3 linked regions of the Tamandua tetradactyla genome follow. The protein of the gene in region 2 interacts with the protein of the main gene of each other region in a pairwise test. Links are inferred from orthologs where the notes say so. Each region holds a gene or a part of one and is shown on either strand. Other genes may lie near its edges.

Evidence for each region.
Region 1: the proteins of GFAP (region 2) and SH3YL1 interact in binary tests that used the Homo sapiens proteins (3 or more experiments, as listed by UniProt). The two-hybrid records come from large-scale screens. The link is inferred for Tamandua tetradactyla from reciprocal best matches to the Homo sapiens genes GFAP and SH3YL1.
Region 3: the proteins of GFAP (region 2) and UBASH3A interact in binary tests that used the Homo sapiens proteins (3 or more experiments, as listed by UniProt). The link is inferred for Tamandua tetradactyla from reciprocal best matches to the Homo sapiens genes GFAP and UBASH3A.

What each region holds. Positions count from the first base shown.
Region 1 is NC_135329.1:43,297,252-43,304,342, forward strand, and holds the start of SH3YL1 (SH3 domain-containing YSC84-like protein 1), read right to left. Parts: upstream 3,009-7,091; 5' UTR 2,616-3,008; intron 2,064-2,615; 5' UTR 1,932-2,063; coding exon 1,931-1,931; intron 1-1,930. Other genes in the region: ACP1 (low molecular weight phosphotyrosine protein phosphatase), read left to right, coding at 3,150-3,192.
Region 2 is NC_135332.1:22,511,523-22,519,493, reverse strand, and holds the start of GFAP (glial fibrillary acidic protein), read right to left. Parts: upstream 3,084-7,971; 5' UTR 2,782-3,083; coding exon 2,321-2,781; intron 1,532-2,320; coding exon 1,471-1,531; intron 1,277-1,470; coding exon 1,181-1,276; intron 402-1,180; coding exon 240-401; intron 1-239.
Region 3 is NC_135336.1:99,705,895-99,713,028, reverse strand, and holds the start of UBASH3A (ubiquitin-associated and SH3 domain-containing protein A), read right to left. Parts: upstream 3,043-7,134; 5' UTR 3,022-3,042; coding exon 2,909-3,021; intron 1,014-2,908; coding exon 960-1,013; intron 1-959. UniProt on the Homo sapiens protein: Interferes with CBL-mediated down-regulation and degradation of receptor-type tyrosine kinases. Promotes accumulation of activated target receptors, such as T-cell receptors, EGFR and PDGFRB, on the cell surface.

The sequences.
Region 1 (7,091 bases), on a different chromosome or scaffold from region 2:
ATTATATAACAAGCTCAGTTATAAGTGTTTTACATATATTCTCACTTCATTCTCAGAACAATCCTATTCAATATGTACTTTTAAGAACCATTTTATAGATGAGAAAACTGAGTCTCAGAGATAACTTGCTCTGCTTCTATAGTTAATTAAGAGGCAGAACTAGAATGCAAACTGAAAAGGGGTGGTGACTCAAAACAGGACTGTATATTCCACTATTGTCCTATCATTTGGTGTAAAAGCTGACTTTTCCCAAGGAAAATTAAAAAAAAAAAATGTGCTTAGGTCTTAAATTGCAAAAAAATGTGCTTTATCTTGATGTCTTTGCACATAAGGCAATGTGTATATGATTTCTGTGACTCTACTCTTCAGTAGAATCAACACAGGAAACAATATTTCTTTTTGACCAGCATCAATTTTTTTATTTTGAAACATTAAATCTTCATTTCTAAACAGCAAGAAATCTCCCGATAAAAAGATTTTCTAAACATCATAAAATTGTCAAATATCAACACTCTTGGTGAGCAAGGTTTTTGAAAAATTATTTTTTAAAATTACAAAAGATAAAAGGTAGTATTTACATGTTTCACTGAAATTTTCTTTAAACAGAGCATCACTGAACCAAATAGCCACTTCTTCTTAATCACTGTAAGCAAGATAACACAGGATTATAACCTATTTTGATTATTTAACCTCCGACATAGTAATTTTTAAACACCTCAACATTTAGTCACTCCACAGGCATTTCAATCAAAGGCCAGCACAGTAGAGTAAATAGCATTTTAAACCTGAGACCTATTATTTCTCTGAATTGTGTGTGTACAAATTTTTTACCTCGTTATTAATTCAGGTATTTCTTCAGGTCAATAAAAATACCTATGAGAACAGGAACCCAGGATGCATATTCTATAAGCAGAAAAAAACTGAAAACCTTATCTCCTAAAAGAATATTCTTAGCCAGTCAGACTTTCAAGATCCCTGTGGGCAGGGATCACATCTTGGTGCTATTCTTTCCAATACAGCATTAGCAGGGAGTAGTGGTAGACTCTGAAATGATTGTGAAAATGACACGTTACCAGCCAGCAGTGTAAACCCTATTTTCTCATGGTTATGTCCCAATTTAGGATAATTTCATACTTCTTTAAATAAAGAAAATGCTTTACAGCAATGAGACCCACAGAAAAGTTCAGGAGCTCATACTAGGGTGACGTCATGTGCTTAATACAGACGCAGCTCAAACAGCTTTGCTCTTTGCTAAACAGTGACCTCTTTATCCAAGTTGTTTTGTAAACGTGTTCTGCTGGTCACAGGGAGGTTCGGGCGAGAGTGTGTGGATGGCCTGGCACTTTTCATTTCAAGAAAAGAAACCCAAACATGTCACCTTACTGGCATTAGAGTAGTGGCATCTTACTGACTCCTACCCTGTGATATATCATGCTCATCTCAAGCCCATAACATTATGGCAAAGTTTTGAGAATGTCATTTATCAAAATAATTTGAAACGAAAAAAAATAGAAAAACAGATTAATTTGCGGCTTTTCAAATACAAGCTATTTACAAATCATTAATAAAATGAGTTATAATAGGTAAAATTCAAAACTTAGTAAGAGTGTCTCTATGAATTGAAACGAATGTGACTAAACTTAAATAATATAAACCAGTATGGTCAAGAGTACTGGGAACTACCTAATCTTACATTTTGAGAGTTTTCAAGAATAGTTTATGTTGAAGTGGTTATAGATGTGCAAAGGTTAAAACAAACAAACAAACAAACAAAAAACCCAGACATCATCGGTCCTTTTTCACCAACAAATTATTTTCCCCAACAATCACTTCTTAAAAAGGGAAGGAGGGTGATTTACCATTAAAAAAAAAAAATCCTGTCCCATTCAAGTTGAGATTCATGCCAGCATAACTAAATGTCGGTACTCACTTGTGCCCCCAGAACCTTCTCCTCTTCCGGTACCACTCCAGCTCCAAAACAACTACCAAGGAAGAGGAAGAACTGCTCTTGGCTTGGGCTCCGCCTCCCCAAAGTAGGGATAGGTCCCTAGGAAGCTGCACACCTGAAACAGGTAAAGGAGCAAGTAAACACCCACTTTCGTCCAGTGTAAAACACCTACTTTATTAATATCCACAGGACAAAAAAATAATAATAATAAAACTATGGTGCTGGCAGCTGGATAGGGACTCCGCTCAGTTTGATAACTGCCATTGCGGCTTTTAAAAATTCCGGTCTTATTTACGTTGGGAAAAACCAAGACAGATGATCCCTATAGAGAGCCGGAAGGTGCTCCACTTCTGTGCTTGTATATGTGTGTGTGTTTGCGACAGCGCTGACTGCGGACCCGGAAAAGCGGGAGCTGAAGGTGCTGGTAATTCAGAGTTGTAGCTGCGGAGTCCCCCAAAAGGACTCCACCCTTAAGGCGCTCAGAGGCGAGGGCTTGTCTCCTCGGATCACTACTTATCTCCACAACGCCGGCGGGGCTTTACGCTGAAGGTTGACGAGGCTTAAGGATCCCAGAGGAGGTTTTGCTTTCGTGGAAACTTAAAAGCTGAGAACGAGTGCGTGCGTGTTCTCAACTGTAAGACATCGACGGTCTTCACTCGAGTCTTACCTATAGCTCCGCAAGATTCTGAGCTCCCTCCGCTAACACTCGGGAGTCCCGTATGGCCCTTCTCACAGACCTACAGGTATCAGGTGCTTGCCTCCCACCACCCAAATCCTGTGTCTCAGGGAGGCAGAGTCGGCGCATTGACCTCCACACTTGGCCCGCTCTCGGCCTCGCACCAGACGTGCGCTCAAGCGAACTAACTCAGCCGAGACACGCTGCATTACAGCGTTCAGCACTGCTAAGAGACAAATAGGTCGCTTCCAGCGTTCCCATCCCTGCTGTCAATATTGACCCGCTGCAAAAGCCGCCAGAGAGCAGTGACCTGACAGGTGAGTCACCCCTCCCCTGCCCGCCTCCTCAGGTAGACTCGACCCGCGCCTCAGCGCGCATGCTCTGACCACGCCCCGCGCTGAGCCGAAGTCTGGACTGCGCCGGCGCATGGGGGCCGGATGCTCGAAGTGCGCATGCGCTGTTCTCACTTCGGCTTCTGGCCGTGTGGTTCCGTTTCAGTAAGTGTCTTTATTTGCGGGTGAGAAGATGGCAGCAGGGCCTCCCAAATCGGTGCTGTTTGTATGTCTGGGTAAGAGAACACTGACTTAACCCCACTTCTGACTTTCACTGACGGGTTGGGTATCGGCATCTTGCACTGTGGGCTGCGCCGCTGAGAGAAGGAAAAGTGAGCGGGAGGAGGCCAAGGAGGGGGAGATGGAGACTTAGCGTGGGATGGGGGCGACCTGGGCCCCGCTCTCCTTGTCGCACCTGCAGAGCTCTGTCTGCAAGTCGTTGTATTCCTACAGTGCACCTACCTAGAGTCCCTGGTTCCAGGTCCATTGTACCCGCATAGACAGCCCCACCCCCACCCCACCCTACCCCCCAATCTAGAGAGGTGAGTTTTCTGATACACTCTTATTAGGAGTCTTCTGGTGCCCTGGGGTCTATGAAAACACCAGTTTGCTATTTTGGCCCAGGCTTACAAATGGATCTGAGTTAACAGTGCAATGAGTGGAAGGATTCCTCATCTCTTGGTCTAAAAACCAAGTCCAGGAGACCGATTTTTCAGATCTCCATGTAACCCTGTTTCTAGAACCCACGTGTCCCAGTTCCATTTTCATGGAAAAATGGAGCTGTTTTGTGTTAATAATCTTTCAAATATCTTCCCGCCCAGAATTTTATTCTTAGAATTTCAGTAAGTCTTTGGACTCCTACTCATAACAGAGTTCACCTTCCGTTTGGTTTTTCGGGATTTTTCCTTCGGTGTAGCATTTCAGGGTTCATTCTCAGTTCCTTACCTCATCTCCTCTCCTCACCGGAGTGCTTCCACCGTATCTCCTTCATCCCTCAAAAGAGGAAGGCCTAAGCTGTCTGTAGTCTAGTCAGAGTTTTTAAAATCTTCTGATGGCTCATTTCCTACAGAAAAAAATCCAGCTCCTTTTTATGATGTGCCTTTCATAAAGTCTCCCTGGGCCTTTTCCATTTTACTTTCATTATCTTTTTTCACCCATCTCCTTGGAGTATATTACCTGTCCAAAACTAATTGCTGGTCCCTCCACATCTGAAGGTTAATGTGATGTGCCTGTGATAATGGGGTTAACTCTTCCTGGGCTTTCATTTTGCCTGGAGTGCTTTTTTATTTTATAAGGTCAAGCTCAAACATCCCATCTTTATTTTCCCACACCCTGTAAGTGGAATTAGTTTCTTCCTATGGACCTTTTTAGACACCTTTTATTACATTGTATAATACTTTGATAACCTGCTGAAATCTCAGATAAATTAAATTTGCTTGACAGCAGTAACTTGGTTTATTTTTCTTTGTATTTCCACTTTTAGAACACTATCTGGTACTCTTTAGGTATTTGTAGAATTGAAGTTCTGAGGGAAAAACGTATAAATGTCACCAAGGGATATTTTTGTTTCATCTGAATAGTAGGTTGCATTTGATTTTTAAGCTCTTCATGGAAGGCTGATGGAACCAACACATTTGTTAAACATTTCTGTTTAGGTTGGGCACCTAATAGCATTTTATTGCCTTGATTACTTAATACTGTTGATCATACTGTTGTAATTCATCATGGCAGCTGTTAATGGGGAAGTGTATCCTTACATATATTTATCTTTACAATATAATGCAACAGTTCTTTTCTGAGCCCCTCTTTACATCAGGCACAGGAGTGTTGGGGTTGGAGTAGTGAACAAAACAAAACAAAATCCCTACATTTCTAGAACTCATTCTCTTGGCAACAAACAAGTAAGTAATTGGTATTCTCAATCAGGTAGTGTTAAGTATTAAGAAAAATAAAGCAGGAAGTGGGATTGGGAGCAGAGTACAGTTTTAATAGAATGGTTAAGGAAGGCCTCATCTAGAAGATACTTCAGCAAGGACCAGAAAGATGAGGAAGCAAGCCTAGTGCATATTTTGGAAAATCATCTTGGGCTAATGAGGAAGGATAGGAAAGGTTTTGAAGTCAGTTTGCTGGTCATGTTTAAGAAACAGCAAGGAAACCAGAAAGACTGGGACCTAGTTACTAAGTAGCCATTTCCCAAGCAGAATTCCTCATCTGAACGGGAGAACTCAGAAGATAATGACTACTTGATCAGTGCTCCCACAAATGATATATAACTAGTACCATTCTAGATGAATATGGGGAAAGCTAATTCACTATAATGTAGTGGATGCTTTAGGACTGGAGTCAGCATACTTTTTCTGTAAAGAGCCAGAGTACCATATCAGAGTTGTACCATGGAAGCAGCCCTAAACAATACATAAACAATTCAATATGATTGGGTTGCATTATTTGTGAAAATTGGAATTTCAATTTCATACAATTTTCATGTGTCATGAAATAGTCCTTTGATTTTTATTTTCCCCTCAACCATTTAACAGTGTAAACATTTTTCTTCATTCTGGGCTGTACAAAAAAAAGTGGTGGGCCAGTTTTAGAATCACTGTATGGGGGTTCATATCTCCTGAGACTTTGTAGGCTTTGTGAAGACAGGCTCTTAATCTGAAGGAGATAATAATCCATTGGAGTACTTTTAGCAGAGACAGGAAGTGATCTAATTTACTTTTTAAAAGAAACATTGCTACTCTTGTTGAGATTAGGTTGAAGGGGAAGCAAGGGCAGAGAAGCAAACCCATTAGGAAGATATTGCCATAATCTGTGCAGAATAGAGCATGTGGGTTAGACTGGTTGACATGGTCAGGGGTGCATTCAGATAGATTAGCGAGAGATGCCATTTTACATAGTAGACTATAGGTAGAATACAAGGAACTGTATATATATTTTTGAAATTTAAAATGTTATGCCTATCTGGACTATGCATCACCCTCACCCCACCCATCCCCCAAAATGTTATGCCTTCAAAACATTTACATGGGTTCTTTAGAGACTGAAGTGTATGTTGGTAAGCCTAATAGCAGAAAAGAACTCCTTATTTTGGCAAGATTATTGAAAAATATTTTATGTTTTTTGTAAGATTAAGACCTATTGGAGAGCATGAGCTGCTTGTTAATCATGCCACAGCCAGCACCATCCTGGTTGGTGGAGATAATGGTGTATTAGTGGTGTCAAATTACTTTTGAGTGTTTTTTTTTATGTGCCATACACTGCTAGATAGGTACTGGGGGACACCCCAATGAGTAAAATAATCTCTACCCATGTAGAGAGCTTTTTTTCTTTTGTGAGTCTGTTCTTGAAATGATAGTATTGAGTAAGGGTATTCATATTGTTGCCAAATTTGAGGAGGGGAGGAAGATGGGAAATAACAAACCTTGAAGGCTTTACAGATTGGAACATTTTTATAAAGAAATCAGAAGTTTACATCTAAGGTTTTTAGAACTTAAATAGGTGAACTCTAAAGCATTGTGTTTTACCTGTGTGCTCCATTTAAAAATAAATGTGCTTTATTTTAAAATAGCACATGTTCAAGACACAACTTTTGAAATTAAGAGGGCAAGTTATAAACAGGATTTATTATTGTTGACCTTTTGGGTAGTATGACCTTGCTTTCAATCTTCATAGTAATAAATGATTTTCATTCATACTTATAACACATCTTCTTGCCCTTTAAAGATACTTGCCTAGTTAAAAAGCAGGTGAGAACTTTAAGGAATATTTCCCAGGCAGAAGAAAGTCTGGGAAAACTGCTGCTTTTTTACAGTTAATGATAATTTTTTTGTAAAGGGGCAGGATTGTCTTTATTATGACTTCACATGCCAAGATTATAGGTTTATAATTTCTGAAATTAGGCATTCCAGAGTTTCAAAATGATAAATGTCTTAATTTGGGATAGGGTGATTGTTGTTAAAAGTATCCTCAGGTTATATGGCAGCAAGTAAAATAATCACCCATAGGGAACTTTTCAGTAATTAAAGTAGTGGCCATGATAATACCAGTTTTGAAAACTGTATATAATTTTAGAATTGAAAAGGAAATACTTCATAGCACAGACTACCATATAGAGGGGTTTCAATGTTAATTT
Region 2 (7,971 bases):
ATGTTGACTACCACTAAACTACTACTACTACAACTAGTAGTAATAATAGTAGTAATAATAATAAGTACTTGTTGGACGTAGTAGTGCCTGTAAGACTCTCGGAGTCATCTCATTTCTCTGGAAGTCAGTCACCCAGAGAGGAGCCCCTTCCACCTTCTTCTACCCTCCGTTCCTAGTTCTCCAGTATGGAGAAAGGAGGACTGTCTGGAGGAGGCAAGCTGTCCCACAGTCAGGGCTACCTTGGACCGGTACCACTCCTCTGCCTCCTGCATGTTGCTGGATGCCACTGCCTCGTACTGTGTGCGGATCTCTCTCAGGGCTGCCGTGAGGTCTGGCTTGGCCACATCCAGCTCCACATGGACTTGCTGCCGGGCCAGCTGTTCCTGGAGCTCCCGCACCTCCTGGTCAGGGTGAGAGAAGGGGTCCCAGGGCTCAGGATTCGGGCTTTGGCCAGGGTATCGTACAGCATCGTACCTGCTTTTACTCAGGCATTGGCTGAGAAGGGGGGCATCCCTAGCTGGAGGTAGAGGCATGGCCCAGGCTAAGGAAGGCAGGGGGTAGTTTGGGGCCTCAAGGTGTCCTCTGCCAGGGCTGGATGGGTAGGAGCCCGGTCCTGAGATGTGCCTGCATTCTGTGGGTGGGTACCCAGAGGTTCCCAGGTTCCACAGGGTCATAGATTCTGAATCCGTGCTCTGAGTTCAGAACACAGTGGGACTTTTTTTTTTTTTTTTTAATAAATGGCCCTCACTTGAAGGGAGGCAGGTGACAGAAGGGATGGAGTTGGAGAGACTAACTGTGTGACCGTAGCAAGTTCCTTAACTTCTCTGGGTCTCAGTGTCCTCTGTGAAAAGGGGATAATACTGGAACAGTTCCTACCTCACAGGGCTGTTATGAAGAAAAAAATGAGGCCATGAGGCCTATTTGAATCCAGTAAGTGGAGTGTTTGATTCACATGTGTGTGCCTTTTAACGGGGGTCCGGAATGCTCTCCTGTCTGTCTCTATCCCCCTCTACCGCACATTTTTCTCTGTATCTGTTTCTCCCTCTGTCTCTCACTTTCTGCCTCTCTTTCTTCCTCTGTCTCTGAGTATCTCTCTGTCTCAATCTCTCATCCTCCATCTCTGTCTTTTTCTCAGCTTCAGTCTCTGACTTGGGCTCTCCTCCCTCTGCTTCAGCCTTACCTCCTCGTGGACCTTCCTCAGGAACCTGATCTCCTCTTCCAGAGACTCAATCTTCCTCTCCAGATCCAGACGGGCTAGGGTGGCTTCATCTGCCTCCTGGAATGGGGAGGGGACAAAGGACCACTCTGACCTCAAACTCCTCTTCTCCCTTCCCCAGGCTTGTCTTACTTCTTCTTCTGGGGCAGCAGGAGTTCATTGATCTGAAGGGCTGGGTTTGGGGGGCTTGGTTTAGGTGGGCTGCCTCCAACCCTCCCTCCCCACCCCCCAACCTTCCCCTCTACCTCCCTGACCTGTCGATAGGCGGCCAGATTGTTCTCAGCCTCCACCCTCAGGTTGGTTTCATCCTGGAGCCTGGAGTGGGGAGGGGTGTGTATGACACATTCCTGGATCTAGGGTCTTCTGAGGACTCTCAAATCCCTACCGTGCTCTCCCTGCCTCAGAGACCCCCAGAACTGGTAGGGTGGCAGGAGGAGTAGGGGTCAAGGGGTCCTGGATCATGGGAATGGCTGGGAGGGTGGGAGGGTGAGCAGATGAGAACTTTGGCCCTAACTCATTACTGAAGTCCCTTAAGTAATGAAGTCCATTACTGAACTCCCACCAGTGAGTACTTGCTGCTGCAGGTACAAACTCACACACTTCCCCCTGCACTTGCAGGTAACACACTTGCCCTGCCAGCTCAGCAAAGCTCCACGTCCCAAGCAACTGCCGCTTGTGATGGATTTTATTATGATCGCTGCTTCACAGCAGTGCAAGTCAAGGTGACTTGCTAGGGTCACGAGCTGAGAACAGGCAGAGTGTGTTCTGAACCCAGGCTTGCCTGCTCTATTTTTCCGCCTTCTTGCCTTCTAATCCTCAGGCTCAGGTAGGTGCATTTCCCTGCCAGGATCTCAAGGCCCAGCAGTGGATGAAATGCAAAGAACCTGCCCACTGGGTCCCCCATGGTCCCCGGCCCAGCTTTCCCCAGTGGGAGTTGCTGTCCCTGGGACTCAGATCCTTGAGGCTCTAGTCCTCCTCCTGCCCCCTCCCGTCATCTTGGGGAGCACAAGAGCCCTTCCCTCCCAGCAGTGGGGAAACGTGGGAAGCAGAGAAGCAGAGCCCCTGACGAGACCCCACAGGCCCCTCCACAGTCCCCCTCCTCACTTCTGCCTCAGGGTGCTCAGGTCCTGTGCCAGATTGTCCCTCTCGACCTCGAGCCGTGCACTGTTGGCCGTGAGCTGGTCGAGGCGCAGTCGCAGCTCGCGCAGCTCGGCCTGGTAGACGTCAGCCAGCTTGGTGGGCTCCTTGGCCCGCAGCTGGTTCAGCTCGGCTGCCAGCGCCTTGTTCTGCTGCTCCAGAAAGCGCACCTTCTCGATGTAGCTGGCAAAGCGGTCATTGAGTTCCATCATCTCTGCCCGCTCACTGGCCCGTGTCTCCTTGAAGCCGGCATTGAGTGCCCCGGCCAGGGAGAAGTCCACCCGGGCCGGGAGTGGAGGGGGCATTCGAGCCAGGGAGAGGCGGGCGCCAGGCCCCAGGCGGCGGCTGGGACTCAGGCCGCCCCCCACCATCTCCAAGGAGGAGACATAGGAGCGGCGAGCAGCAGAGGTGATGCGTCGCCTCTCCATCCTGGCCTGGCTCTGCCTGCTGCTGGGATGTGAAAGCTTTATGGAGGAGTGGGCTGGCCTGCCACTGCCCAGGGTGCCCCTGGCAACGCCCCCCTGGCATAGCCTGAGGGGGTGGGGTTGGGCCGCAGCCCAGCCATGGGGAGAGCTCCTCTCACCCCACTGAGGTCACTGTGCCCAGAGGCAGGGCTTCCCGGGCATGCCAACCCTATCTGGGTCTGGAACCCTGACCACTGGACCAGGAGACCCCCTTTCCAGAAAAGTGGGTCAAAGAGGGCTGAGCCAGGTGACCTCTGACCTATCTTCCATCTCAGATTCCATAACCATTGTCATAGGCAGTCCCTCCCTCAGCACTCCTTCACTGCCTGCCTGCTCCATGCTGGGAAATTAGCAAAAAACAAACCTGTTCTATACCCTCAAGTGACAGCCTGCTACAGTTTCCTACTGAGCCCCATTCCAACAGATTCCTGTACATCCTGCCCTCTGAATACAGCCATCCTACATTCCTGCTTTCTTGTCTCTCCTTGGAGTTCTGGGATTGGGGCCCAGGTTTGGACACCAGCCTCCGTTTTCTTGGTGGGCTATCTGAGGCCTTTCTGTCTAGCCGAGGCCAGTGACAGTAGGGACCTTTGAAGGTCCCAATTGATTGGGTCGAGGGGGTCAGGTACTATACTCTCTGGCCCCTCTCCTTGGGCCCCCCTAAGCCCCTACCTTATTCCCACTGGGCTCACCCCTCCCCCTGCCTGGCCTCCTTGCCCCCTCCCCAGAGCTCAGGCCTTGACAGCTCCACAAAGCAGTTACGAATGAGCTGGCTGTTCCAGCTTGCATCTTTGTTCCTGCGACTCCCTGTCGCCCTGGTCACCCCCTCACACACCCCCTGGAAATATATCTTCTTTGAGTTCCCACACTTCAGGCTGGGCTGATGGGAAAGGCCTCTGGGGATGGGTGAGTTTGGGAACCCAGGAGCCACTGAGTGCAGACTGGGAGCCCGGACCCCAGGCCTGATTGCCCCTTGAGCCTTCGGGTCGGTCTACAGCTGTCTACCTTGGTTCTTAAGGGTCAGAGCCCTGCCCAGGACCCTCACCAATCTATGTCCTTGGACTTCTGGGAAGCAGGCGGCCCTCCTCCCTCCCACCCCCTGCCACCCCTGCCCATGCCCTGAGCTGCTGATCCCTTTTCTGGGGCTCTTGCTGAAAGGAGCCTTGTTCTCCGCCACCGGTGAGGGCGCCGTGCGGGAAGGGCAGCTCCCGGGGGCCTGAGTTGCTTTTATCCTGAGATGCCAGGCTGTCAGGCCGGGGGGTAGCCCAAGTCCCCTGCTCAATGGGTTTCTCGGAAGGCATCTGAGGGGGGCTGGGGTGCAGTGGGAAGCAGGCTCTGTGCCCACCCTGACTATTGTTTCTGTGCCAAGGTGAGTCATTCAGTGGGCACCAGGGGAAGGCCCTGGAGAGTGGTCCAGCATGCCAGGTCTCCAGCTTTGCAGACAAGGCCATGCTGCCCACCCTCTCCCCAGCTCTTAGAGCCAGCGCAGGACCCTGAGCCCCTCTCAGGGTAATATCCCCTGCCCCATGCCAGGGGACATGCTCTTCATTTGGGCATGTCATGAGCTGCCAGCTGATGTCGCCCCTGTGAGTTCCAGCACAAACTGAAGGCCTGAGAGTCCCTTCCTTATTCTCTGGTCACATCTGATCCTGGGTCCTGAGCAGTAATATGGGGAGGGGGCACCCAGTGACCATTCATCCTGTCGTGGGTTGGTGAGCTGGGGACCAATAGGGACTTGAAGAACAAGACAGGGGACAAGCCCGGGTTCTAACCATCATCTCTGAGCTAGTTGTGGCCCCCTCAGATTGACTAGCAAATCACAGCATGTGGTCTCCCCTTTTTGTCCAAGTAAAATCCGAATGAGTGCAAAGCAATCCTGGAAATGAAAGATGTAACAAAAGTAGGAAGGGCTTGTCAGAAAAGCTGATGAATTGTGCTTCTGTATATGAGACAGAGGTTCATTTCAGAACCAGCAGAAGGGGTCCCCCAGCCTCACCCCTTCCAGCTGGGCCGCTGTCCCAGGCCCTGGCTCTCCCTGCCCCCATTCCCAACCTCCCATCTAGCACTCAGACCCATCCCCACTCTCAACCCTTGACTAGCTAACGGTGTTCATACAGAGAAGCAAAGGGGCAGACGGATTTGGTAGAGATTGTTTTCCAAACTTGCATTGTTTTGTATTACATATTTATTGTAGAAAAATTAGAAAATAAAGATAAGCAAAAATATTTTTTTAATTAGCTGTAATTTTGCCACCTGGAGATAAACACTACCAGATTTTCTTCACATATAAATGCATTTTTTAAAAAGTGGGCTTATGCTGTACAAATGGTTTTGTAATTTGTTTTTTTTCGCTCAATATGTTATGAACATCTTTCCATATCGATAAATATTTATCCACATCATCATTTTCACAGCTACATGGTTTTCTACTGTATGCATTTATTTAACTGAGCTCTATTGTTGGACAGTTATGTTCTCTTTCTCTCTGTTCTAAATCACCACGCTGTGATGTTTTCCTGCCCTCAGGCAGACGCAGCCCACAGACACGGGCAGGCTCGCAGCCCTTCTGGCCTCCACCCCAAGGCCTAATTATGGTGTGGCTCAGTCCCCATTCTAGATGGCACCTCTCTCCTCCTGCTTCCCTAACCTGGTGGCCCAACATGTGAAGCCTCAGGCCCATCCCTAGACTGACCTCTGGGCAGCAGGACGCTGCCAGCCAGAGAGAGAGATTGCCTGTATCCCTCTACATGGCCTTCTGCCAAGCTGCACCCCACTCCTGAGCCGAGGTGGGTATAAGAGGGCCTCCCACTCCTTGAGTCTCTCCGTGCATCAGAATCTGCCACGATGCCCTCCGGTCACAGGCAAAGCCTAGATGCCTCCCCAGTCAGACCAACTCAACATCAAGCTGAACATGCATACAAGGTACCCAGTATTTTCCAAAGATGCTAGCCTCTAATTCAACTGGCCATTTTGCTGCTTGCCACCTGGCTGCCTCTGATCATGCTGCTGCCCCTTTCTTAGGGGCAGACCTACGTCTAGAATTGAGGTCTCCTAATTTTTCTTCCCACTATCTGGGAGCAAATCAAGAGTCATGCTCCCTTCATATTCCAGGGCACAGCAGCTTCATGTGGCAGGAGCAATACACGGGTAGCCCATGTAGCACTATTTGGCTTAATTACTGTGTGGACAAAAAAGCCTGGAGGTGGATATAAGAAAAGTAGAGGAGTTGAGAACAAAAGAAAAGTGAGTGGGATGAGAACAAAAATCCCTCTGGTTCCTGATGGCCCAGTCCATCCTACAGCTGAGTGTGGGAACCGAGCCCTGGTGGCCGCTAGATGGCAGTGCTCAGCTGCCCAGGTCCTAGCGGCCACTGGACAGCCAATTTAGAGTCACAGAGAAAGCCAGTTTCTAGCTTTAGGCAGGTGTTCTAAAACCCAAATTTGCATCTCCCAGAGAGAGCACCCCTTTGATTCCCTAGACTTGCCTCCGATTTCTATGGCAGTGTCCTCTAGGGGAGAGAGCAAGGCCTTGGCCATAAATTAGCTGTGTGATCTTGGGCGACTTCAGGAACCTTCTGAGTCTCCAAATCCCTATCTGCAAAATGGGCACTCACCATATCTACTTATGAGGTGGTTGTGAGTATAAAATCAGTGAGAACCACACATAGCAGGTGCTTGATGAGTCATGGCTTCCACTTAACGACAGCTACCCTGTGCCAGGGGCACCACTCCATCCCGTTTGAGAAGCTCTTGGTGTACTCCTACCTCCTGTGGCTATGGATCCCATCTGCATTTCAACTTGAGGCTTCCCAGTGAGGGGACCTGTTCTCCTCCTTGGATGGGAGCTTTCTCATGCTAGCATCTGTCTTCCCCGTCAGACTGGTGTCTCCCTAAGGTGATAGAGTCTCTCTCCTCGCCTCAAACTAAGGCTCCCACAAGAGAGGATTCATACCTCCTCACTTGGCAGGGAGAACCCATGGCCAGCTGTCAGTTTTGGACCTGCTGGAGGGCAAGGATTGTCTCCCTCTTTAGTGGGAGGGGGCGCTGCCTCAGAGCAGAGACTGGTCCTCCCCATGCTCAGCCTGAGTCCAGCAGCCTCTCTGGTTAGAGGGGTATGACTCCTGTGATCACAACCACTCTGGCTGCACCCCCCTCCCGATTCCTTCTTCTTCCTCTTCCCTGCCATCTTGGAGCACAGGGAAGGCATCAGCTCACGCACCTTCACAGACCCCAGGGGGCCAGACTCCTGTGCCAGGGTTAATAAGCTTGGGCCCTTTCTCTCCCTCCTTCCCACCATAGCCAGCATCTGCTCCAGACAGCCCACCCCCACTGCCACTGCTACCCCCCACCTCCCTGTCTCAAACCTCTAACCTGAGATCACTTTGTAATTGCTTTTCCCTATCTGCTCTGCTCCCCTCTCCCCTCTGAGGTCTTCCTGCCTGAATCCCTCAGGGCGGGTGAGAGGCAGGGAGCACATGTTGTCCTGGTGGGAGGAGAGGGCTGGTGGGCGGCCTATTATTTCCAATCCAGTGGTCCTCTAAATGGACAGGAAGAGCCAGGGAAAGGGGCATGAAAGGGCTAGGGGTGAGCCAAGAGGAGTCCTTGGGATGAGCTGGAAAAGCTTCCAGGCCCCCAGGGGGTGCTTCTGGTCCCTTCCAGCTCCTGTTCCTTCCTGGTCCCTCTTCACAAAAGAACCATGAAGGAGGGGAAGGCAGCCAAGAGCAGATTCTGGCTGAGGACCAGGACCCCTAAATCTAGCCAAGAGTCAAAAGGAAAAAATCCCTGGGGGAACTTAGGGACAGATGAGAAGGGGTCTGAAAGACTCCCAGTGGGACCCCACATGGTGATGAGGTGCCCTGTGGGGGCCAAACCAATGGCTGGGTATGTGGGTGACCCAGAGGAGAAAGCCTAGGCCCCTCTCATTCACTGAGGCCAAGACTGAAGGTTCTGGCTTGCAAACAAGGGACAGGTCCATCCTTGACTCCCTGAATGAAAGGACCATGCCCTGTTTTCTGTGCTTTCAGCTCCTAGCACAATTCCTGGTTCTGTGAACTGGGAGGGAATCTGTACCGCCAGACTGTGGACCAGGCATGAGCTGCAAGGACTGAGGTGGGCAACGGAGTATGCATCAGGGGCCTGGGAGGAGAATACCTCT
Region 3 (7,134 bases), on a different chromosome or scaffold from region 2:
AATGAAGAGGCTGGAGGGAACTACCTGAAAATGCAGAGCTGTATTCCAGTAGCCATGTTTCTTAAAGATGATTGTATAATGATGCAGCTTTTACAATATGACTGTGTGATTGTGAAAACCTTGTGTCTGATGCTCCTTTTATCTACCTTATTGACAGATGAGCAAAACATACAAGATAAAAATAAATAATAGGGGGAACAAATGTTAAAATAAATTTGTAGATTGAAATGCTAGCGATCAATGAAAGGGAGGGGTAAGAGGTATGGTATGTATGAATTTTCTTCTGTTTTCTTTTTATTTCTTTTTCTGAATTGATGCAAATGTTCAAAGAAATGATCATGATGATGAATATACAAATATGTGACAATATCGTGAATTACTGATTATATATGTAGAATGGAATGATCATATGTTAAGAATGTTTGTGTTTGTTGTCATATTTTTAAAAAAATTTAAAAATTAAAAAAAACAAAAAAAGAAGTAGTCAGTAGCTTGGGTCACACAGCTGGTTCATGGCTACCAGAGCTCCCCTCTCCACTGCCCTGCACCCTGTAAAGCAGGGTGGGTGGGGGATGCACCACCAGGAGGCAATTTTCTTTCCATCAGGGGTAGCCAGAGAGAGGGGAAAACTCTCTTCACTATCCACAAAATTTGCTCTTCCCTATTTATTCAACAAATCGTATGAACCTTTTTCTTCTTCATAGTCAAAATTTGGATTGAATCAGATTTTGATCAATGAAAGCTTTGTACAAAGTTTCCTTTCTTTCCTTTTTACACAAGGGCCCTCCTTTTGCTCTCTTTCCCTGGGTGCTGGTTGTGGGTCATGGAAACGATTTTGTTTTAAGTTTCACAGTGCTGCCAGGCCCTTCCAGAGCACCCCAGCACGTCCCAGTTTCCACCCTAGAGGACAGGTTCTCTGCGCACAGGCAGCTCAGCTCTGCACAGCCAGCCCCACTCACCAGTCGGATGCCTCTTCCGCTGTCTTCCTTCCAGTAGCCGCCAACGCTTTGAGCCTGAAGGAAAGAGGGGACACGGGAGTGCTCAGCCGGGCTGAGAGCAGCGGGCTGCAGCCCCAACCTCAGCCTCTGCGCGGGCACCTTCCGCTGGCTCAGAGGGCAGGCTTCTGCAGCCCGAGCGCCTGTGCCCACATGCCGCCCTCCCTGCAGCCACCACCATGGCCCCAGGGGACACCAACCTGCATGTGTCGCTCCCTGCTTGTGCCCCTTGCCAGGCTCCCACCGCCAGGCCTTTGCAGGGAGCCCAGGGACCTTGCCATTGGACCTCTGTCCACTCCAGCCACCCTGGTCCCACCAACCAAAGCAGCACGGACCCGCCTATGGGCCCGGGGGTCAAAAGCTGCCAGCATCCAGCCCACCCCCTCGGTGAAATTGTGGTGCCCCTCTCGGGCTGCGAGCAAACATCTCCCCTGGGAATCTTCCCTAGTGGGCTGGATGTGCAGCCCCTCCTTTGCGTCCCGCTCCGTGCATTCATCATGGGTCTCACCGCGTTAGCGTGCATCTGTTTGTCCCCCCTCTAGAAAGAGTCCCCTGGGGCTGGGCGGTGTTTAAACCGTCACTATAACCCAGGATCTGCATTCATTGAACATCAGCACCAAATGGAGCAGGACGAAAGGTACTTCACTCAGGATGGCAGGCTGGAAATAACCAAGGGGTGCTGGCTGAGGCAGTTGTGGGCTCCCGGCGGTGTGTGGCTCCCCAGAGGGCTCTGAACAGACAGGCCTCAGCCCAGAGCCCGGCTTGGGGGGCTCCACGTGAGAGCTTCAAAACCACCGCCCTGCCCCCACCTCTGCGAGGAGTCCAGCACCAGCAGCAAACGGCTGTGGAAAGAGGGTGGGCCCTTGGGGCGCTGGGGGCTAGATCAGGTCCCTCTGGGAGCCTGGTGTCCTTGGCGGCAGCCTGGGGTGCCTGATTGGGAGGGGGGAAGGCGCCCCGAGAGCTGCCCAGGATGGAGCCCCCTGGACCTGCCCACAGGCAGGTTCCCCTCCCTGGGTGGCACCCCTGGGCTTGTTGAGGATGCCGTGATGGCAGAGTCCCCACTTGGGGAAGGAGAGGAACGGGGCCTGGCTTTGAAGTTAATTCATCCAGCGTGGGCAAGGTTTTGTTATAAAGTTTAAGGAAAGTTCTCCCACCTCCCAAATCCTAGGTTACCACAAGCATATTTCTGTTCTGCTTTTCCATTGAGCAACTATCTGGAAAAAAAAACCCAGATCTAAGAAATCGGTTTGGGCTAAAAATCATGGCCCAATACCAGCCTTGCCGCAGCTCACTGGTTAGGGGCTGCCAGGGGCCTCTTCCTTCCCTGCAGGGGTGGCTCCCAGGGCTAAAGGCTCTGCGTGAGGATCTGGGAGGAGGAGGCCGGGGCCAGTGCGGCCCTGTGGCTCATGAACCATTTTGCTTCATGACTGGACATTCACGCGATTTTCCCCAAAGAGGAAGGCTTCCCCTGAGCAGTTTAGAAACCCAGGCTGGCTGGTGATCCTCGCAGCAGCCCCCGGCCTCAGACACTCCCCAAGAGACTGAAACACCTTGACACGCCACCCTGAGGATCTCTGAGCTGCCCGCAAAGAGGTGGCAAGCAGGCCGAAGCTCCCACAGGCTCTGAGAAATGGGGGACAGCCTCACTCACAAATTTCAGGGCCCCCCCGATCCACCAGGCAGCAGATTTTGTCTTGAAAAAAGTAAAGCTCATTTTCTTTACTGACAGTTGGGAAAGGGCCTTATTCTGAGAGCATCTCCTCTTTGCTGTGGCAGGAAGTAGGTGCCCCGGGCTGCCTGCAGACGCGCGGTGAGAAGGCTGTGGAGGGTTCTGACCCCACGCCCAGCGAGGCTGGCTTCAGGGTGTTGGGGGCAAAGGCCCAGGGGCCCGGGCCGGCTGGCGAGGTACTCACGCGGTGTGCGCTGGGAAGCCAGACGCCAGGAGGGACTCCAGGGCCGAGGAGGCACCACGGCCTCTGGCCTTGCTGGAGACCTTTGCGTAGAGCTGAGTCTCCCCGGCTGCCATCTCTTCCTGCCCGCAGTTCAAGAGGTTTGCCTTGCAGACTGAAGCGAGTAGATAAAGCCAGGGAGGGCGAGGGGGAGTGGCTGAGCCTGCAAAGAAAAACCTCAAGGCACTTTTGATCTTTCTGACAAAAGCTAATATCCTGTTTGGGTGAGATACAGTTTTCAGAGCTGTCTGTGCAGGGACCTGGGCGCAGCATCCACCAGCCCTAACCGCTTCCACAGAGGGGCCAGCTGAGCCCCTGTCGGGGATGGACATTTGTACTGACTTGGGGGGTGTTTGGGGTGAGTCTTGTGAGAGGAGTGGAGGAATGGCGTGAGGTCAGGGGCGATGGGGGTCCCCAAGAGACCCTGACTTGTAAAACGAGATGCTGCCCTTGCTTCGTTCTATTGTCCCTACTGACTTAAATATTTTGGGTTCTTTAAGTTATTCATTGTGTTCTTTCTGATTTTGAAAACTTTTTGATTAAAGTATAATATGCAGACAGAAAAGCTGGCGAATCCTACCTGGATAGGTTGATGATTCTCATAAAGTGAACACTCACGACCACCTATCTGTAGGAAAAGCAATAAAGCAGCGGAATTCCATGGGGCGACTTGGCCCCCTGGGGACATTGGTAATGTCTGGAGACATTTTTGATTGTCATGTTGGGGAATAACTAGTAGGTAGAGGCCAGGGGTTCTGCTAAACACCCTACAGTGCACAGGGAAGCCCCCCAACAAGGGATGATCTGGCTCTAGAACATTGCCAGGACCTCAGAAGCACCCTTTCAACCCTGCCCAGCCTCCGAGGTAGCTCCAACCTCCCCTGCAAAGACAACCATCATAGCTGCTTCTACATTAACTTTGCCTCTTTTCAAACCTTTCGTAAACAGAACCATGGAGAATGTACTTTTTTATGTCTGGTCTCTTTGGCCCAAAAGCATGTTTGCAAAACTCATCTGCATTTCGTAGCTGCAGTGAAAGATGAACTGTCATTGCTCCTGTGTTCTGTTGATGGATCAACCATCACTTACTTATCCATTTCTCAGTTGATGCACATTTGGGGGGTTCCCAGAGACGATGATGCTGTGACTGTTCTGTACGTCCTTTAGTGCCCCAAGTCTGCATTTCTATTAGGTGTATATCTAGGAGTGCAACTGCAGGGCCGTGCGGAACGGGTACGCTTTAGTGGAAACTGCCAAGGAGTTTTACAAGGCAGTTGCACCAGTCTGCCCCCTGTCGGCAGCACGTGGGAGGTGCAGCAGCTCCATCTCCTTGCCCAGACTTGGCATCCCTGGTCTTTTAAATGTGAATCGTCCTGCTGGGTACGTGGTGGTATCTGGCTGTGGTTCTAATTTGCCTTCCTCTGACACGGAGCTCCATTTCACACACTAATTGGCCACCTGAGTATTCTCTTTGGGGAGGTGCCTGCTCTCATCCTCTGCCCATTTTTTCCCATTGGGTTGTTTGTTTTTCCTGATCAATTTCTGGGAACTCTGAGAATCGAGTCTTTTATTGGATGTATTTATTGGTGAAGTCTTTTTCTAGGCTGTGGTTTGCCTTTGCATCCTCTTAATAATGAGATGAAGCAAAAGTTCTTAACTTGAGTGAAATTTAATTTACCCATCTTTTCTTTCATGGTAAGAGCTTTCAGCATCCTGCTCTAGAAGTTGTTGATTCAACATTGGTGAAGATAGTCTCCTATGCTTCTTTCTGGAAGCTTTTACTTTTACCAACTGTATGATCCATCTGAATTAATTCTGTGTATGTTCATTTTCATACACTTTTATCCATTGAAAAGAGCTTTGGTCCTTTAGAACTTCGACTGTAAATCAGACGACTGTGTCTGTGACAACCAGTCTCTGGATGCTTGTCATGGCCCCTTGTTTGATTGGTCCCTTTTTGTGCCCATAAAAACACTCTGCCTTAATTACTATACTGTTAAGCCCTCTGATTTTGTCATCTTCAAGCTGGTCTTGCCCTTTCTAGGTCATTTACTTTTTCATGCAAATTTTAAAATCCAGTTGTGATAGTGTGGTGTCAGAGAGTGCAGAAAACCCCACACATATGTGAACAATTGGTTTTCAACAAGGCACCAGTGTCATTCGTGGATGAAAGTTACTTTCAACAAATGGTGCTTGAAAAACTGCATACTGGTGTGGAAAACCTCAACCTTACCTCACATTATATGCACAATTAACCCCAAAACATACGATAAACCTAAAAGTAAAAATTAAAACTGTAAAACTTCTAAAAGAAAATCTAGGAGAAAAGTCTTTGCCTTGTTGCAGTTTGCAAAGCCTTCTCATGACATAAAAAGTGTGAACCACAATGGAAAAATGTGATAAATTGGTTTTCATCAAAATGTAAAATTTCTCCTCTTTAAAAGACACAATGAGGAAAATTAAAAAAAAAAGCATGTCACAAACTGGAAAGAACAGTTACTATGCATTTATCTGACAGAGGACTTGCAGCCATAACATATGAAGAAAAACAGCCCAGTTTCGAAATGGGCAAAAGATATAAATGGACACTTGACGAAGAAAGTTAAGTGAGTGGCCAAGGAGGAAATAAAATGAAGCTCAACATCATTAGTCATCAGGGAAATGTAAATTAAAACCCCAATGTAATACCACCAAATAGTCTAAAAGAGCTAAAATTGAAAAGACTAACAATACCACGTTTTGACAAAGCTGAGGAATACTTGGAACATTCCTACATTGAATGCAAAATTGTCCAACTCCTTTGAAAAGCAGTTGGGTGGTTCCTTAAAAAGTTACCTTTTACCTTCTTACCTAGCAATTGCATTCAGTATTTAACAAAGAGAAATGAAAATGTGGGTCCTCACAAGGCTTTACTCATAGCAGTCCCAAACTGGAAATAATCCAAATATCCATCCGCTGGTGAACAGATGTACAATTATGGAAAATTCAGTCAATGGCACAATACTGAAAAGGGAACACTGCTGATTCATGCCACAAAATGGAACAATACTTTAAATAATATTATATATTTAAAAAATGAATCTAACAGAATGCTCACCTTCCATGCAGGAGATCTGGGTTTGATTCCCACACCATGCACCTCCCCCCAAAACAAAAAACAACCCCCCCCCCCAAACCTATAGTGACAGAAAGCAAACTGGTGCTAGTCCAAAGCTAGGGCATGAGATTTGGGGAGTGATGGGAATATTCTATATCCTGGTTTTGTTGTGATTACCTGGGTGGACCAGTTTGACTCTCTTACAGACCCCAGAAAAGCCATATCCTTTAATCTTCATTCAATATGCTGGGTGGGGGCTTTTTGATTGTTCCCCTGGCAATATGACCCACCCAATTGGTAACTTTTGCTTAGATGGTTCCATGGAGATGTGTCTCCACCCATCCAAGGTGGGGTTGCTTGCTGGATCCCTTTAAGAGGGAACCATTTGGAAAAAGCTTGAGAGCCATGAGAACCACAAGAGCCCACACAGCCAGAGACCTGTGGAGATGAAGAAGGAATACATTCCCGGGGAGAACTTCATGGAACAAGAAACCTGAAGAGAAAGCTAGCAGACGTTGCCGTGTTTGCCATGTGCCTTTCCAGTTAAAAGAGAAACTCTGAACATCGTTGGCCTTTCTTGAGTGAAGGTAACCCCTTGTTTGGACACTTTTGTAGCTGGCTTTAATTGGGACATTTTCATGGCTTTAGAACTGTAAACTTGCAACTTAATAAATTCCCCTTTTAAAAAGCCATTCTGTTTCTGGTATATTGCATTCCAGTAGCTTGCAAACTAGAACACTGGGTGTATATATATTTTCAAGACTGATTGAATTGAAGACTTAGAATGGGTACATCTTATTGTATATAAACTAAACCTCAATAAAGTTGATTAAAAAAGAAATAGACAGCGGGGCAACCAAATCAATAGACCGAGCCCTCAATCTTGGGGTTTGTTCATATGCAACATCCCTGCAAAGGATAGACTTAGCCTACTTAAAAATAGGTCTACGAGTCACCCCTAGAGAACCTCTTTTGTTGCTCAGATGTGGCCTCTCTCTCAGTCGACACAGCAAGCAAACTCACTGCCCTCCCCCTCTCTACAGGACATGACTCCCAGGGGGGTAAACCTCCCTGGCAACGTGGGACAGAAATC